Macaca fascicularis: one gene and its partners. The protein of the gene in region 3 purifies or fractionates together with the protein of the main gene of each other region. This does not show direct contact. Links are inferred from orthologs where the notes say so. Each region holds a gene or a part of one and is shown on either strand. Other genes may lie near its edges.

Region 1 (6,419 bases), on a different chromosome or scaffold from region 3:
TACAGGCTTGAGCCACCGCGCCCGGCCTCAGGCAATTATCTTTTAAACAAGCTTTGTGCCTTGCAACCAGTCTGTGGCTAGCACGTTAACAAGGTGCCAAATAAAAGTTTACTGAATGGAATGAACGGTGGTAGCTTAGCAACAGAGGAAGGAATTACCATCTCTACTCACTCTACCTTTCTAAAGGAGTTAATACGAAACTATCACCAGGCAAAATAAACAATTATTTCCTTAAACAAAACACTGAATCAGGAATTGGAAGAGAAAGGAATAATCATATATAAAAATTATTATCAATGTCCTTAAAGGGCAAGATGAGACACAGACGCCTTAAACAGAGATTTAGTACGTTCCACTCAATTACAACACTTGTCTGACCTACCTTGTAACAGTTAATTAAAGGTATTCTGCTTCCACAGGACAAGTTTAGTAGAGCCCTTGGTCATTTTTGTGTTTCCCAGAATACCTACAACAGGATCTGGCACTTAAAAGCCAAAACTCCATAAAAATATTTTACAGATTGTAATACCTTTTCAGATGTATTTATCCTAAAAGCCTTGCAAGGTAAGCATAATAACTGAAGTATATGCATTTTATAGACAATGACATTGGTGTCCATTAAGTGCCAAAGTAAATAACGAGGTGTTCTATCACACCACAGCTATCACAGGAGGCTCTCAATAAATGGTTGCTGATTGGATTAGCTGTCCCTCAAAATATCATTTTTCTTTCTAAGATTATTTACTACGAGAAATGACATCCTTTGAGCTGGAGCTGCAAGGAAGTGGGAAAAAAAAAAAAAAAGAAATGACTATTGCCACTAAAGATTTGTAATTTTGCTAGAAAACAGACACCTTCCTTCGGCTCAGCAAGGTTAGTTAATTTTAAATTTACTGTATCAGTGATTCTCAAACTTCAGTAGGCCTAAGAATCAGGGAGACTGATAAAAATAAAGTTCTTTGGGCCATTGTCATCCCTAGAATTTCAATTCAAGGGACCAAGAATCCATATATTACATATAATACCTATGTTATATATATAACAAGCACTCTCAACTGATTCTAATGTTGGTGGTCTTTAGGGACACACTGAGAACTGTATTCGACTGAATTCGAACTGTATTCGAATGGAGTATCGCTCTGTTGCCCAGGTTGGAGTCAGTGGCCCAATCTAGGCTCACTGCAACGTCTGCCTCCCGGGTTCAAATGATTTCATGCCTCAGCCTCCAGAGTAGCTGGGGCTACAGGTGCGTGCCACAACACCCGGCTAATTTTTTTTATTTTTAGTAGAGACGGGGTTTCACCATATTGGCCAGGCTGGTCTCGAACTTCTGACCTCGTGATCCACCTGCCTCGGAGGGGGGCATCTTGCTTACATTGCCCAGGCCGGACTGGAACTCCTAGGATCAAGGGGTCCTCCCAATTCAGCCTCCCCAGTAGGCCTAGCCATCACACTTTGCCTGAATTAGACTTTTAAAAATCTAAATTAACCTACCAAAATAACTGGTAATCAAGCCAATAATTAACAGAAATACTTAAAATCTGACAAAAACAATGCAAGCCTACAGCATGTAAGACAGTAGATCTTCAAAAACGTGTACCATGCCAAACTTTCTCCCTACATGGAGACCCCATGCTGCATAGAAAGTTAAGTTAGGGATCTTTTAGGTAGTTACCCATATTCTTCTGTTTCAATTGATGAATTCAACTACGGTTCCAATGTAATTTGGTAAAATATTTTTATAGGTCCTATACAAATGGCAATGTAAAATGGAGCAGTCAGATAATTTTAAACCTAATATACAGAAATAATTTTAAAAATCACTGTCAGTACAAGCCCATTATAAACCTGTACTGTTTACAATCTGTGAGATTATGGGTGATTTCTCCTATTATTATTTATTAAGAGCCAACACGGTACCTTTCCATACTTTCCAAATTTTCTACAAAAAGCATATTTTTTCATGATTATAAAAGTTTTGCAAGTACCTATAAGTCTTATAACTTTCACACACATAACAGGAAACCAGGAATAACCTGTAATCACATTTCTCACGAAACATAAATATCTGACTTACGGTATCAAACTGTAAGTACTAACATTTTCCAACATTAATATCAGAACAAATCATTTTATTTCTAAAATTTAGTATGTGTCCCATTTCCTTCAGGTATTTATTAGAGTAGCTGGCACTTAAAGAGGACTTAAAATCCTCTTGCCAACCATTATCTGGATCTCTTTAAGTGGAACATTTTCGTACCGAACACTGAAGCATAAAAATATTTCCTCTGGCGGCGGGGGGTGGGGGGGAGGACAGACCTTTGTAAAAGACGTTTTTATAACTGTGAGTGTTTATCTAGAAAACTTAGCATCGCAAAGATGCGATGGGGCTTTCTCCAAGGCAGACCACGCTTAGAGACAAGATACAATACAAGGAGGCTGGGCTGAGCAACCGGCAGGTGATGAAATTTCACCTCAAATAAGACGCAAAAGGTTGTTCTCGAGCAAGTCAGATCCATGAATGACACTCCAGGAGTACCACGGGCTCTCTTGGTCCCGCACTCTCTGCACCCCAATTCTCACCCTGGCCGCCTTCTCCTCCCCATTCCCCCGCCACTACCGGGATTCTGAGGTACTCGGTATGGGACGCGGGGAAGCCAAAGCTGTTTGCAAACAGGCGTCATCTACCTCCCTCTGGGATGTACGTGCAGGGCCCAGGCTAAGAGGCTGCGCTCGGCCCGGGCCCGTGCAAACCCGAAAGGCGGCCGTGCTCCTGCCGGCCCCCAGCTCCACACACCGGGCCGCGCCGGAACCGAGGCCGGGGCGAGGGCTTCCCAACGGCGCGGGGCCTAGTCGCCCCCCACGGCCTTCAGCCTCCCGGGGGACGCAGGCAGAAAGGGCTGAGGCCCCAGGACCGCAGAGTGGGGGAGGCGGCCGCAGTGGCAGGACGCCCCGTCCGCCCGGCCCGAAGGCTGCCGCCAAGGCCCCCACAAGCGGCGGGAGGCGGGCGAGCCCCGGACCGCGCCGCGCCACACTCACCTCGAGCAGCGGCCGCCTGCGCTTCAGCATGGCCAGGGGGGTCGTCCCTGAGCCGAAAGCCTCCTCCGGAGGGCACCGGCGCGGCCCCAGGCGCCACCGCGAAACCTCCCACTCCTGTAGGAGCTGCGGTAGCTGCGGCTGCGGCTGCTACTGCTACAGCTGCTAAGGCCCGGCACCCGCCCAGCCGCATCGGCGCCCGGGCCGCGGCAGCCACGCGGATCCCGGAGGAGCGCCGCCGAGCCAGGCCGGGGGCGCAAGGCTGCGGCGGGACGACCGAGGTGCAGCAGGCGAGGATCCTCAGCGAAGCCTCCAGCGTCGGGTGGCCGCTCCTGCCGCCGGCGCCGCTGGGCCACAGCGCCCCCTGGACCCCACGTCCGGCTACGGCGTCGGGACTGCGGCGGCCGCGCCGGGCACGAGCCGCAGGGAACGCTAAGGAGCGCGGCCTGGGGGCGGCGAGGGCCCCGCGCTCCCTGCGCAGCCCGCGGCCCGCGGCCGGCCGGGGACTCCACTTCCCGGGAACCGGAAGCCCCTCAGTTCCCACCAAACCCTTGACGTTCCCCGCCCCCCGCCAGACCCGAGCACCTTTTCCTTCTCTCCCGAAGGTACGTGAACGTTCTTGTCACTCGGACCCGCACCTGAGAGCAGGAATGTAAGGGAATCCCTTCGTTTGTCTCTCCCGGCTTCGGGGGTGGCGGGGAGACCCCGTTCTAATCCCTTTAATGCGTCTGGATGAAAGAAGAGTGACCCAGAACAAACCTTTTTTTCAAACATATACACACTCCTCTCCCAAAACAGACGAAGGAATTGTCTTTGACCTTAACTTTTTTTTTTTATCCACTGTGTAGATCATTACAGAAATTTTCTACAGATACCAACCAAACCCTTAACACCTAAACCACCACCCCCACAAAACAAATATGAAAATATATATGTATATATATGCCCAGCCAGAGAAGAGAATAGCCAAAGGGTTGTCCTGAAATTCATAAACAACTTAAAGGTAAGCAAAGAATCACCCATCTTTTACTAACACCCTCCCCGTCCCAACCTCTTCTCTCCCACCTCCACCCCTCATCCCAGCCGAATCCTAGTAATGCTCTGAAGGAAGGAAATTATTACACAGTGGGGGCTATGGAATCATTCTGTTTACAGATGCCCCATATTTGATCCCAATCAGCCTCTAGGGTGCAAACGTCAGAACCAAAAACAAACAAGACTGTCAAAGGGGAAGTAGGGAAAGATAATTCTCCAAATCCTCTGATCCCCAAATTTTCCAAATACACTTTTTTGACAGAGTGGTGGTATATTAGAATGTGTAGTGACTTTGGTGTCAGACGCATACTGACACTACCAGTTCCAGTTCTGTCATCTATAGCTTTATGACCCTGGGCAAGTTATGTAACATTTTTGAACCTCAGTTTTCTCCTGCCTGCCTTGCTGGTTGTTGTGCAGATTGGAGATAAAGAGACTGGCCCATAGAAGATACTCAATAAATGCTAGTTCCAATTTTTATTGGTTCCAGTTCTTTTTCTTAGGCTCAATTTTGTACTCATCTGTTTTTGTTTCTCATTCTCTGTGTGTGTGTGTGTGTGTGTGTGTGTGTGTATATGTGTGTGTGTAAGTGTATTCCTATCAAAAGATGGATGCTCCATTCTTCATCCTCCCTAGTCTGGGTGCAACTTCCCTAAATTTCACTAATGGGTTTATGTAACACCCCTCTACAGAAGAATAGAGCCTCATGCACTGGATCCTATGACATTCTATTGTACAGCAGATATCAGCATGCAACCAGTATTTTTTATGTATAAAAAATGTTATAAGGCAATCTCACCTTACCTTAGGTTATGGCCTAATGATGATAAATAATAATGAGAAACTACAGGAATCATTCATTTAATAATTGAGCAGCCACCACAGAGAAGCTGTCACCTAGTAGCTCTCTTAATGAAAGCTGTTCCTGTATAATCCTAACTGTGCCTTTGCCACATACTCCTGAGTCACAAAAAAATCACTATACCCTTTCTATAACAAGAGAAACTGGGGCTCTAAGGGAAACCGTGATTCATCCTCGCAGTGATTCTATGAATTAGGTGCTATGCTACCACCATTTTACATGTGAAATACATCCAACCTAAGGAAAAGCTGTAAGTAGACCCTGAGATTCCCTTCAGTCCCCAACCTGATGCCCCAACAGTGCTTTCAGCAATATTAATAAAATGCTGTAAGGGTCATTTGTTGCTACAAAATTTTCAGTCGAGAGAAATGGGCCCTTCTACTGATTGAGATCATTAACTCTGTAACCTAATATTAGCACTGTATTTTTCATGCCTAGATCACTGCCACCACAGGAAACCTGCATTTGTTTATGAATAATCATGCAACCCAGGGCATAGCTACTACATGAAGAAGATGATTCATTTGTTCCCAAGACCAGTTTCCTCTTGCTTCACACTTTCTCTCCTTGTTGCTGAAAGCAGCTGCCTTTATCATCACCACCTCCTCCCCGATCAGAGTAGTCCACTTTAAATCCTTTCATACTCTACAATTTCATTCCATCGTTTTCAGTTTGCCTTCTGCTCCTAAAATGTCTCTCACCTGTTTTCCTCTCTTCTACTGTAAATCTCTTGTTCATTTTAATCTACTTTGGCCTTCTGTCAATTGATTTGGCTACCCTACTCTCAATTTTGCATTGATTTCCACTATTAGCTAGCAACTGTAAAATGTCTCTGTATTCCCAACCTGGTAGACCTCCCCACTTTCATTTTTATACTGTCTACATCCTGTAGAAAGCCAATATTCTAAGAATTTTTTTTTCAACAGAGTTTAAGCTCTAGCACCCCAAGCAAAATATTCTTTGCTCTTTAAAATTAGTTTTTAAAATTCAGGCCAAAAAGATACCTGTTTCCTGACTTGGTGAATGGCACCATCATCCACCCAGGTGCCCAAGCCAAAAATCTTGGATTCATTCTTAACTCTTGCCTCTTTCTCCTGGGCAAGTAGTTACAAAGCCTGATAAATTTTACTTTTTTGCTTTTTAAATTTCTCTTCTCCTGTCCAACTCCACTGCCACTCACTTTGATCTAGTAAATATGCTCAATAAATTATAGGTGAACTGAATGAAAAAAAGGAATAAGGAATGAATGCATGTTCTATTTGGATATAAGAGTAAATACTGGTCGGGCGCGGTGGCTCATGCCTGTAATCCCAGCACTTTGGGAGGCCGAGGCATGTGGATCACCTGAGGTCAGGAGTTCAAGATCAGTCTGGCCAACATGGTGAAACCCCATCTCTACAAAAATACAAAAATTAGCCAGGCATGATGGCGAGTGCCTGTAATTCCAGCTTCTCAGGAGGCTGGGGCAGGAAAATCACTTCAACGC
Region 2 (6,471 bases), on a different chromosome or scaffold from region 3:
CCAATTCTTATTACTTGTCTGTCTAATGAGGGTGTCACCATCTTTCAGGTTCCACGCTAGTCAGGACTTCTGATTTAGGCTATTCAGTTTTTATTGTTGGACCAAAACACGGCAGTAACACAAAAGGTCATTTCTATGTTAAAACCCCCTTCCTGATCAAACCACTGCATCACCCAAAGCTGTTTCTATAGGAAGAATCAGGGGAAGAAGAGCCTCAGTGCAGCCAAACCACAGACCAAATGTGGCACCAATACTGCCTCTCTCCAAAGTTTCAAATCACTGGCTGGAGGGAACAGTTTCCTTCATCCACCTTTAAGCCATGTGGGTGCTTTACAGATCCTGGACTGCAAGCTCTCCAACAGCAGGGATCTTGTCCATCTTGTTCAGTGCTGCACCCCTACACTTGCCACAAATGAGGCACATATTCCCAACAGGGAGGAGAACACAAAGGCAGACAATATTCAAAGCTGCAACTCAACATGTGAACACCAACATACCACATATGAAATAAAATAAAGATTCCCCTCTCCTCACAGACCAGGAGCGGGAAAAGATGAAATATTCATACCACATAGAAGTCCAGGCCGTAGATACCAATGCTTGGGTCATACTTGATGCCCAGATCGATGTGTTCCTGGATCCCAAAACCAAAGTTTCCAGTATCTGAGAAGTTGTTTTTTCTTAACTCATACTCCCGCACCTGTGGAGAAAAATGCAGCAATAACATTCCTCGTCATCATCTCCCTCCCACCCCCAAATAACTATTAATAGCTCAGTCTGCAACATGCACCCCAGAGCAAAAACAGAAGTCAATAGGCCGGGCGCGGTGGCTCCAGCCTGTAATCCCAGCACTTTGGGAGGCCGAGACGGGCGGATCACGAGGTCAGGAGATCGAGACCATCCTGGCTAACACGGTGAAACCCCGTCTCTACTAAAAAATACAAAAAACTAGCCGGGCGAGGTGGCGGGTGCCTATAGTCCCAGCAGCTTGGGAGGCTGAGGCAGGAGAATGGCGTAAACCCGGGAGGCGGTGTTTGCAGTGAGCTGAGATCCGGCCACTGCACTCCAGCCTGGGTGACAGAGCGAGACTCCGTCTCAAAAAAAAAAAAGTCAATAAAACTTGGCTAGGAACACAATCTGACTTCCTCACTACACCCCAACTACCCAAAATGACCTCTCCCAGCTTCCAAAGAACAGAGAAAAACCCAGAGAAAGCAGAGGAGTGAAATGACTCCCAAGCATCCTTTTTTTTTGGACAAGAGTTTCACTCTGTGGCCTACGCTGGAGTGCAGTGGCACAATCTCAGCTCACTGCAACCTCTACCTCCCGGGTTCAAGCAATTTTCATGCCTCAGCCTCCCGAGTAGCTGGGACTATAGGCGCCCGCGACCAAGTCTGGCTAATTTTTATATTTTTAGTAGAGATGGTGTTTCACCATATTGGCCAGGATGGTCTCGAACTCCTGGCCACAAATAATCTATCCTCCTTGGCCTCCCAAAGTGTTGGGATTATAGGCGTAGAGCCACTGTGCCCAGCCTCAAGCATCTCTTAAACCACCAAGAATAGTTTAACCCTGCTGATTGTAAAAAGTATTTTAGAAACTTAAATAATAAATGTCAAGGCACCAAAGAACAGAACATTAAATGTAACTTATCTACTTGTGTTATTAAGTGGGTGCTCATTAATATCACTCCATTAGGGGATTAGCCTCACCTTTAGACCCTTCTCCAAGATTTCTTCTGCCTTGGCCCCTCGAACTGTGCAGTGGACAGCAATCTTTTCATTTCTCCGGATGCCAAAGGACCTGACAGTGTATCTAGCTGCAGAAAGGGGGTAACAAGGAGTCAGATGCCATCACACCCCCACTACACTCACCTCCTTCCCAGAACACCATCTCCATGACTTAAAGAGGCATTAAGTATTCATCCACACTCTAAGTTGTGGTGTTCTAATTAGTGTCGCCTACATCTATTAATAAGATTTCATCCACAGCAGATTTTCCCATTTCCAGACATCCAGCCATCCTTCAGCAGTTAAGAACAGTCATAATGCCAAAGTTCCAAGAAGGGCAAGTTCACAACCAGAATAAGCCAAAGAAGTCACTAGTAAGATTATCATGGTCCAAAGAAAATAAAGCATTATTGACAATAATCTAGTACTTGCTAAAACCTTATTATTATACTGTTGTCCACATTTTATACGTGAGGTTTTGAGAGGTTTATTAACTTGCACAACTGGTAATAAAAAGCAGGATTGGAATCCAAAGACTTGCCACATTTCACCATCCTAAAGCAACGGCACATATACAACTCATTTTATCTTCCACAATTATCAAGTATTACACCCTCTTTATGCAAATAAAAAAGCAGAGGTCCAGAGAGCCCAGAGTCAGACCAGCAAGTGGTGAAGCCATCACTCAAACCCAGGCAATCTGTATACAACTTTTGAGATAGGGTCAACCAGGCTGTAGTGCAGTAGCACTATCATAGGCCACTGAAGCCTCTCATGCTCCTGTACAGCCCTGTTCTTAAGGCAGCCTATATAACCCTAACTGCTAATCAGATCTAATGATCTTTACTTCGTTCCTGATATTTCCACTCTATCTCATATCCTAGTTACTTGGGAAAATCTTTACTTGGGCTAGCCTTAGCTTAAGATCTGCTCATATAAAATCCAGTGTTCCAATCCCACATGCAATCTCGAAAACAAAGACACTTTTTGGTCGGCTCATGAATTTAACGCTTTAAGTGATGCCGACTGTCACTTTCTAAACAGACTCGACAGCAGGTAAATTAAACAAACAGGCGACCCAAGTGGGTAGCCCTGTCATTTGTCACTACTCACCTTTGGAAAACACAGGGGTCTGCCCTGTGAGCTGCTCCAAAACCTTGGCAGCTCGGGTCAGTCTGTCTCCACTCTCCCCAACACAGATGTTGAGACAGAGCTTGCGGATGCGAAGTTCCCGCATGGGGTTCTCCTTTTCACCTTGATCCTGCTGCAATGGGGAAGAGCAGCAGTCAATACACTCACAGCTGAGAGCCCTGAGTTTTTACTACTTTCTATCTGCACAGCATTTTTATTTCTGCTCATCCCAAATCGTAACGAAGAAGGTATCACCGTGTTTGGGAGGCATCAAGGAACGAAGTCAGCTCGGGACCTATTCTTCCTCCACGAACGGAACAGGTGAAGAGAAAACTCAGGACAGGTATTGAGTGTTAAAGGTTACGGACACTGAGATCGAACTCTAAGAGGCTCAGGATAACAAAGAGCGCCCCCACTGTAAGGGAAACTAAGGGGAGTAAGCGACGGAATAGAACTTAACTGCTAACAGGAAACACGTGGTTATGCGACGTTCCGCATCCCACTCGGAAGCTGTCTAAAGGCTGGCACCTTCCCTAAGCCGAGCACCCGGCTAAGGTTTCCTAGCACTCAGCAAGTCTCAAGTCCCCGGAACCAGGAAAAGGCGCGGACCCTTGCCTCAGAACCCTCCATTCACCCCATCTGCCCTAGCTGCAGCCTCCTGACAGTGCTTCTGAGCTCTCCCGGCAACTGCCCGGAGCCGCTCCTAAAATGATGGCAGGGAAAGTGACAGAATTCAACCCTGCGTCCTTGGCTCGAACGGCTCTGCCAGTTTTGGGCCGGCAAGCATTGAGGGGTCCATACTCCTCGGGCTGCAGGCGAGGTAGCCCCCGCAAGCTCGGCCTGCCATGGATGGCGACGGATAAAGAAAAGCAAATCCAGATCCCAGCTACTCACCGCCATGATGGAGTGCAGGAAAAGAAAACGGAGCTTCCGGCCCAGGGCCTTATGGGCCAGGAGGCGGGCTTTTTTCCCAGGCTAACCACAGAGATCAAGAAGAGGAAGAGAGGCGCATTTGGCTGCGCAGTGCAGCGTCGGCTTCCCCCTTGTGGGTAGGGCTAGCAACTGCAAGCAACGCTGGCTGAAGACCGGGATTTGGGTTTTCCAAAAATAGTTTTTGAAAGCTCCTAGAATCAGCACGACCTTGAGTTTCCGGACCTTGAAGACGTTCTCTCCTCCCAGTGTCAGGTGCTGGTGGTGCTTGTGTGATGAGACCGCCAAAACTACATTAAATCAATCATGCAAATTATGACGCAAATTTATTCTGTAGCTGGGATTATAGGCGCGCACCACCATATCTGTCTATTTTTTTTGTACTTTTAGTAGAGATGGGGTTTCACCATGTTGGTCGGGCTGGTCTCGAACTCCTGACCTCAAATGATCCACCTGCCTTGGCCTCCTAAAGTGCTGGGATTACAGGAGTGAGCCACCACGCCGGGCACAAATAGAATTTATACAAACGGAATGGTGTGGTAGCTCAAGAGTCCCGAGCTTGAAGACAGGCAGATGTGGTCCTGTCTCGATCAGTTAGTAGCTATGTGACCTTGGGCAAGTTACTACAGGGTGAGTATTCCTAACCTGAAAAGCCTGGGACCAGATGGTTTTTGGATTTGGGATTTTTCCGGATTTTGGAATATTTGCATAAACGTAATGAGATATCTTGGAGATGGGACCCAAGTCTGAACATGAAATTAACTTATGTTCCATATACACCTTATACACATAGTGTGAAGGTAATTTTATACAATATTTTAAGTAAGTTTGTTCATGAAACAAAGTTTGTATACATTGAACCATCAGAAACCAAAGGTGTCACTATCTCAGCCACCCTTGTGGACAGTCTCTGGTTGGTTGGCCTAACCATTGTTCCAGACTGTAAATGTATATGCTACTGATAAGCAATACTTTCTTATGCTTATTCACATATGAGTACTTCACAGCAAAATATATGCTATGCCATTAATACCGTGAAAAAGTAATGTGTTCAGGGCAACTAAGCAGCAGAGGAGCATCACCGGAAAACCTGGATCAGCTGTGAAGCAACAGCGACCACCGGCCCCCACCCCACCCGCCACCAGGCCAGCCGCTGTGGCTCACACCTGTAATCCCAGCGCTTTGGGAAGCCGGGGTGGGTGGATCACTTAAGGTCAGGAGTTCGAGACCAGCCTGGCCAACAGGGTGAAACCCCGTTTCTACTGAAAATACAAAAATTAACCGGGCCTGGTGGTGCATGCCTGTAATCCCAGCTACGGGAGGCTGAGGCAGGAGAATCGCTTGAACCTGGGAGAGGAAGCTTGCAGTGAGCCAAGATCACCCCACTGCACTCCAGCCTGGGTGACAGAGCGATACCCTGTCTTAAAACAAATAAACAAACAAAAAACAGCTACCACAAATGGCAGGCTTTCAGTCTCCACCTATGATGCAGTGTTTTGATTAAAAGATTACTGGACACTGTAATTTTTTTTAAGGTGAGAAGAAGCATCAGAAGCAGTTGTGGGAGCAGGAAGTGGGTCCCCTAGGGAAAAGGAGGCGTTCTCCTGGATGGCTTTTTAAAATGTTTCCTCCAGAGTCATCTGCGTTTCTTTTCTTTCTTTTTTATTTTATTTTTTATTTTTTGAGGCACGGTCTTGTTCTGTTGTCCAGGCTGGAGTGTAGTGGTGTGATCTTGGCTCATGGCAGCCATGACCTCCTGGGCTCACATGATCCTCCCACCTCAGCCTCCCACGTAGCTGGAACCACAGGTGCACACCAACATGCCCGGCTAATTTTTAAAATTTTTTGAAGAGATGGGGTCTTGCCGTGTTGCCTGGCCCACAAATCTTTAAAGATGTAACATCATGTTTCGTCTTAAATTTCTGCAACCAGCCAGGTGCAGTGGCTCATACCTGTAATCCCAACAGTTTGGGAGGCCAATATGGGAGGGTGCTTGAGCCTAGGAGTTTACGACCAGCCTGGGCAACATGGCAAGACCCTGTCTCTACAAAAAACTTATTAGCCTGGCATAATGGTGTATGTGTGTGTGTTCCCAGCTACTTGGGAGGCTGAGGTGGGAGGATTGCTTGAGTCTAGGAGGCTGAGTCTGCAGTCAACCATATTTATGTCACTGCACTCCAGCCTGGGTGACAGAGTGAGACCCTGACCTCACACCCCCAAAAATTCTGCGACCAGCCTGTTGAATATTCAGTTTCCTTAAATTTTCTGTTCATTGTGATAGATCTTGCTTGTTTCACCTTCAGTATACCATTAAGTGGCACATGCTGGATGGATCCATCAGTACAATGCTGATGGATCTGCTCTTTCTTTTTTCTTTTTTTTGAAATGGAGTCTTGTTCTGTTGCCTAGGCTGGAGTGCAGTGGTGTGATCTCAAGTCACTGCAACCTCCACCTCCCAGGTTCAAGAAATTCTCCTGCCTCAGCCTCCTGAGTAGCTGGGATTACAGGCACCTGCTACCATGCCCGGCTAATTTTTGTAGTTTTAGTAGAGACAGGGTTTCACCACATTGGCCAGGCTGATCTTGAACACCTGACCTCAAGTGAGCCACCTACCTCAGCCTCCCAAAGTGCTGGGACTATAGGTGTGAGCCATCGTGCTCAGCCAGATGGATCTGCTCTT
Region 3 (5,017 bases):
TGGTGCATCCCAGCCTGGGTGGTATGCACACTAGCCGTGGAGTTTCCTTAATTGTGAAGAATGAAGAAAGGTGAGAAGGGAGCCCCTTACTCAGGCATACGTGCTGGAGGCACCTGGGGTGTGAGGTGGAGACAAGGCTGAGGTCAGAGGAGGAGATGGGGCCTGCTGGCAGGGCTGGGCTGAGGGGGAGACTCTGAGGCATGAAGAGTGGTCAGGGTTGGGGCCAGGAGTCAGAGTGAGGCTGGGATAGGGAGAAGGGTGGACATGGGCAGGGAGAAGGGTGAACATGGGCCAAGACAAGGGGAGGTAGAGGGTGGGAGAACAGCCTGGCCAGGTCTGGGACAGCAGCTGGAGCTAAGAGCCAGGTTGGGGTAGGGGGCAAAGCAGATTTTTAAATGACTTTCCCAGGGGTGTGAGGCCCTTGGGCCTCAGAAGGAGACCCTGGAGCACGGCTTGGCTGAGCTGCCACACAGGAAGCTTGTTCTCTACTCTGGGCCCCAGTGACTGAAATGTCCCATCTGGGTGTTCTGGGAGCACAGTGCCACCTCCTGCCCAGCCCCTCCATGGTGGGCCCCTTGATCTTGGCTCCCTCAGACCCCAGGACCCCCACAATTGTTTGTTCATCCCAGATTTTGTTCTTTGCTACCCTGAAGACAAGCCCACTTTTTTTGTTTTTGTTTTTTTCTAAGATCTAAAATGTGTTTATTTTCCTATAATTCATAAAGCACTTTATAAAGCAGTAAGATCTTAAATTTGTGTACTTTCAAAATACACCAAAAAGGTATCTTCACACACATTTTCTCACCGGTTCCCACAAAGATCCCTTGAAGTCAAAAGGAGCCACATTATCCCATTTGACAGAGGTGTGGCCTGAGGATCAAGGAGGGAGGTAAATGTGCCAAAGAGGGCCACAGACTACTACCAAGTGAGGATTGAAACTCTGCATCCTGACTTCTAACCCAGTAAGTTCCCATTAGCTGACATGAGATATATAGTCCAAAGATGAAGCACAGGTGACGTATTGGGACTGGATCTTCTTGGTCAAAGGGTCAAGCTGAGAATAAAACTCCAGGACTGGAATCTGGGCATCTGGGATGGTAGTTGGGGTCAAGGGTGGTGGCACTGATCAATTCCCATTACCTGGCTGCTCACCCACACCAGTGGTGGACTAATTCCTGTAATGCTTGTGCCATGGGAATCCCTCGGGTACTAACTGAAGTTCCATCTGTGATGGCCAAGACAACACATTCATCACCTGTTACCAAAGTCCTGGGCCTCCACCTCCCTTTTTAAGGGTTTTACCACTTGTCACTCAAGGAACACAGAGAGAAGTACAGGACTAGCCAGTGAGGGGCAGTGGCAAAGTTCCTGCAGACTCTGGTCTCTGGTTCCTGACTTTCTCTAGGAAGTAATTCTTGAAATCGGTGTTTCTTTCCCTCCATGTGGCACTCCCATTTGGAGATGATCCCAAGGCAAGCCTACCCTGGGTCTCCCCACTTGTCCTATGGGGGTTCACATGCTTAAGGCTCACAGCACTGAGCAACAAAGGGCTCTCAGCTCTGCTAAGTCCTAAAAGACGCCCCACAAAACACAGTTGTGCTGGACAAGTGGCCACAAGCCTATGCCTGGGAGAGCCCCCTCCTATCCAGGCAAAAGGCTTCTCAGTGGTTCCTCTGGGGGTGCTGAGCAGAGTCTGTGATTGGAGCATCAGGCTTTCAAGATTTACATCTTTATTAAAGACTGTGACAGTGGAGGCAGGCAGAACACCCCTCAGTCACATCTGAAAACAGCGCACATGGTGGGGCTGGAAATCAGTGGGCCCAGTCTCCCTTCCTCCTTCCATCTGCATCAATCTATTTCCATCGGTGCTTCAGAACCAGCGCCTGCTTTAACAGTCTGGCATCAGAATCTTATTTTAAATGCATCAAAGTTCACTGTTAGAGCCAGCACTCCAATTGTGGGAACAAGACCCTGTGGAATTCCTCAGTGGGTCTTCAGGGCCCCCATGGGATGGAGCTGCAGTATGGGCACACACATTTCACCTATGTGAAAGCTGAGGTCATCAGCCATGGAGGCTAGAGGTCTTGGAAAGCATCCCAGGAGCAGGGAGCCAATGAGAAGGGATGGGAGGGAGGGAGGAGGAGGAAGGGTCCGTTGTTCTGCTAATCAGAGAGGACAACCCCGACCTGCCTCTGCTCTGCTGTTGACCTCTGATGTGACCACAATGCTGGGGACTCACAGTTTGGAATGGGAGCTAGAATTCAAGGATGAGAAAGCTTCCTGTCCACTGCCTCAGAGGCCTGCTTTCCATTCCCAAAACTGCAGGATGGCACAGAGGGATGGCAGCTCTGAGACCATGGAGGCCAATCAGTCCACTTTACAGATGGGGACATTAGAGCTTAGGAAGGGGCCTGTTCCTAGGCCACACTCACTGCGCAGTCAGAGATAGGGACGGGACTTTCTCTCCTGTCCCACACTGCTTCCCCTTGGAGGAGCTGTCTATGAGAGCAGCGGTTCTCAAACTTGAGCATGCACCAGCATCACCAGGAGAACCTGTTAAAACACAGACTGCTGGGCCCCACCCTGAAGATTCTGATTCCAGAGGCCTGCAGTAGAGTCCACGGGTCTGCCTTTCTAAGAAGCTCCCAGGGGATGCTAATGCCGCAGGTCCTGGACTACATACTGAGTAGTGCTGGGCACTCCTTGGGACGGCTGAGGGTGAGGGCAGTGCAGGAAGAGCCAAGGGCCATGCTGTGAGGGGTCTGGTGGCCTGAGGACCAAAGAGCAAAGCTGTGGCCAAGTAGAGGTGTCTGTGCAGCCAGGAGGAAGGAAGCAAGCTTTGGAAGGTCAGGCTTTGGAAGCAGGGACGTGCATGGAACATCAGTTTCTGTCTTTGTTGATGAGGCCCCTCTGGGATGAAAGAAGGGAACAGAGTTGGCCTCTGGGCAGGTGGAGGGTGGGGGACCCTAACCTCATGAGGGGCAGTTTGGTTTGGAAGGCACTTTGAGTTGCCATGGGCTGCTGGGGCTGTAGCCAGCATCACCTCAGACTGTTCTCTGTGGGAGCTGTCAACAGGTGTCCTGGGGCAGGGGCTGGGGTCAGGACTGAGCTGTAAGGACACCCAAGGTAGTGGCAGGTGGGATGGATGGGGCAAGACCAGGGCCACCTAGAGAGCCCAGAGGTCATGACTTCCTCACTCCAGACCTCCCTGGTTCTGGCTCCTGGAAGGAGGGGGCTAGGAGTCTGGTGCACACCTGGGGTAGTGGGTGCTCAGCTTTGGAACCTTCTCTGTAGGATTTTTAGAGAAGAGAAATTTGGTCCCAGAGAAAGGGAATTGATTCTGAACCAAATGACAACTGAGGGCTGGGTACCAGGACCTGGGAATGCTGTGATGGGTGGGGCCTGGCTCAGGGACCCCATCCCTCTCTGCCCACCAGAGACTCCAAGATGGTCACCCCCTCCTCTCAGCTCTGCTGAGAAGCCCTCTCTGCCAAGCCATGGCCAGCAAGAGGGGTGCAGACTCCTTCAGCCTGTGCCAGCGCCAGACCCTCCAACAGGCCTTCAAAGTAGGTACCCAGAGCCTGCAGGTTGAAAGCAGGCTGGGCAGGGGGCAACGCGGTGGTCCGCAGGCTCAGGTAGCGGCTGTACTTCTTCAGGCCCCCCTTCCGGTCACGGCGGTGTGCGCTCAGCAGCTCCATGAAGCTCACATTGCGGAGGGCCAGGAGGCGGGCCTCAGCCCGGGGCAGCACAGCCGCCTGCACCAGGGGCTGCAGGGAGGCAAAGCACTGCAGGTTACTGAAGGGGTAGACATGCTGGGCCAGCTGGGGGCCCGGGGAGACCTCGATGAGGCGGCACAGGTCACGCATGGCCAGCACGGCAGCCATGGCACTGTGCTCGCTCATGTTTCTTGCTAGGTAGGTCTGGGCCAGGTTCTTGAGTTTGAAGCTGCTGGCCCCGGGCACACGCTCCTGGATGAGGGGCAGGGCAGCGAGGAAGCCCGAGATGGCCTCCTGGAATTCCCAGAGCCTGTTAATGTCCTCCAGGGCCTGGAAGAAGTTCGGGAGGCCAGGCCCCCACAGCTTGTAACAGGCCAAGATAGGGCGGCGCATGGAGCTCAGAAAGCTGAGGAAGTGCTGCAGCCCCACCTCCAGGGACACGGCTTTGGAGTAGATGCTGAAGAAGGCTTCGGGCTGGATGACCACGCGGAACTTGCTTTCCTGGTTCACTGCAGCCAGCTGGCTAATCTTCTGGGCTGGGCAGGAGAGAAGGGCAGGGTGAGGACCCAGGGGCACAGAGAGCTCTGGAGTGGGAGCAGGGGGTCCTCTAGGGCTGCTGACCCACTATCTAGAGACCTCACCTTGGGGCCTGCTGGCAGTAGCCACACATCAGCCCCCAAATGCAGCTCTGACCCTGGTTCTGATGGGATAGCAGTCAGAAGGGGAGGCTCGGCTGCCCTCCAAACACCTTGTTCACCAGCTGGGGATCCAGCTCTCCCCTTCTTCACTACCAGCCCCAGAGTTGGCCAAACTCCATGGATCCAGGTCCCTCCTGTCTTCTGTCAGCCTCAGCCACTTACACTAGAGATCCCAAGCTGTCTGAACTTAGCTCTCCATCCCATGCTCCTTCCTCCAATTCCCTCAAGGACGCCAGCCCAGTTAGAGCCCTGGGACGTAGACAGCACTCCACTCAGAGCAAGGCCCAGAGCCTCCCACTGAGGTCTGCAAATAACTTTCCTGTACCATGAAAACACTTGCTGTTTCTGTCTGGCTGGGCTAGCCCCAATGTTGAGTCCATGCCACAGGGTAGGGCCTGGGGCTCTGGCTCAAGGAGGGGCATTTGCAGAGCCAGGGTAAGCATTGGAGGAAGTTGAGGGGCTTCCAGAATAAGGCGTCTGGTCCCTCTGTGACCTTGGATCTGTGGGCAGCCCTGTGCAGCCCCCTGTGGGACTGGCCCTCTACTCAGAAACGTGTAGCACAGCCAGAGGCCTTACTTGGATGACTGGGCTCATGGCAATGAG

The links. The genes of interacting proteins can lie anywhere in the genome.
Region 1: the proteins of PML (region 3) and ZFYVE9 purify together in Homo sapiens (affinity purification with western blotting; 3 studies listed by BioGRID and IntAct, with this or other methods). This does not show direct contact. The link is inferred for Macaca fascicularis from reciprocal best matches to the Homo sapiens genes PML and ZFYVE9.
Region 2: the proteins of PML (region 3) and RPL11 purify together in Homo sapiens (affinity purification with western blotting; 3 studies listed by BioGRID, with this or other methods). This does not show direct contact. The link is inferred for Macaca fascicularis from reciprocal best matches to the Homo sapiens genes PML and RPL11.

What each region holds. Positions count from the first base shown.
Region 1 is NC_088375.1:182,580,431-182,586,849, forward strand, and holds the start of ZFYVE9 (zinc finger FYVE domain-containing protein 9), read right to left. Parts: upstream 3,785-6,419; 5' UTR 3,642-3,784; coding exon of another isoform or gene 2,788-3,641; intron 2,640-2,787; coding exon of another isoform or gene 2,522-2,639; intron 1-2,521. Other genes in the region: uncharacterized protein, read left to right, coding at 2,522-2,639, 2,788-3,641, 3,885-3,926. UniProt on the Homo sapiens protein: Early endosomal protein that functions to recruit SMAD2/SMAD3 to intracellular membranes and to the TGF-beta receptor.
Region 2 is NC_088375.1:211,421,236-211,427,706, forward strand, and holds the start of RPL11 (large ribosomal subunit protein uL5), read right to left. Parts: upstream 3,785-6,471; 5' UTR 3,762-3,784; coding exon 3,756-3,761; intron 2,995-3,755; coding exon 2,844-2,994; intron 1,820-2,843; coding exon 1,713-1,819; intron 701-1,712; coding exon 569-700; intron 1-568.
Region 3 is NC_088381.1:50,970,085-50,975,101, reverse strand, and holds the end of PML (protein PML), read right to left. Parts: intron 4,253-5,017; coding exon 3,465-4,252; 3' UTR 1,714-3,464; downstream 1-1,713.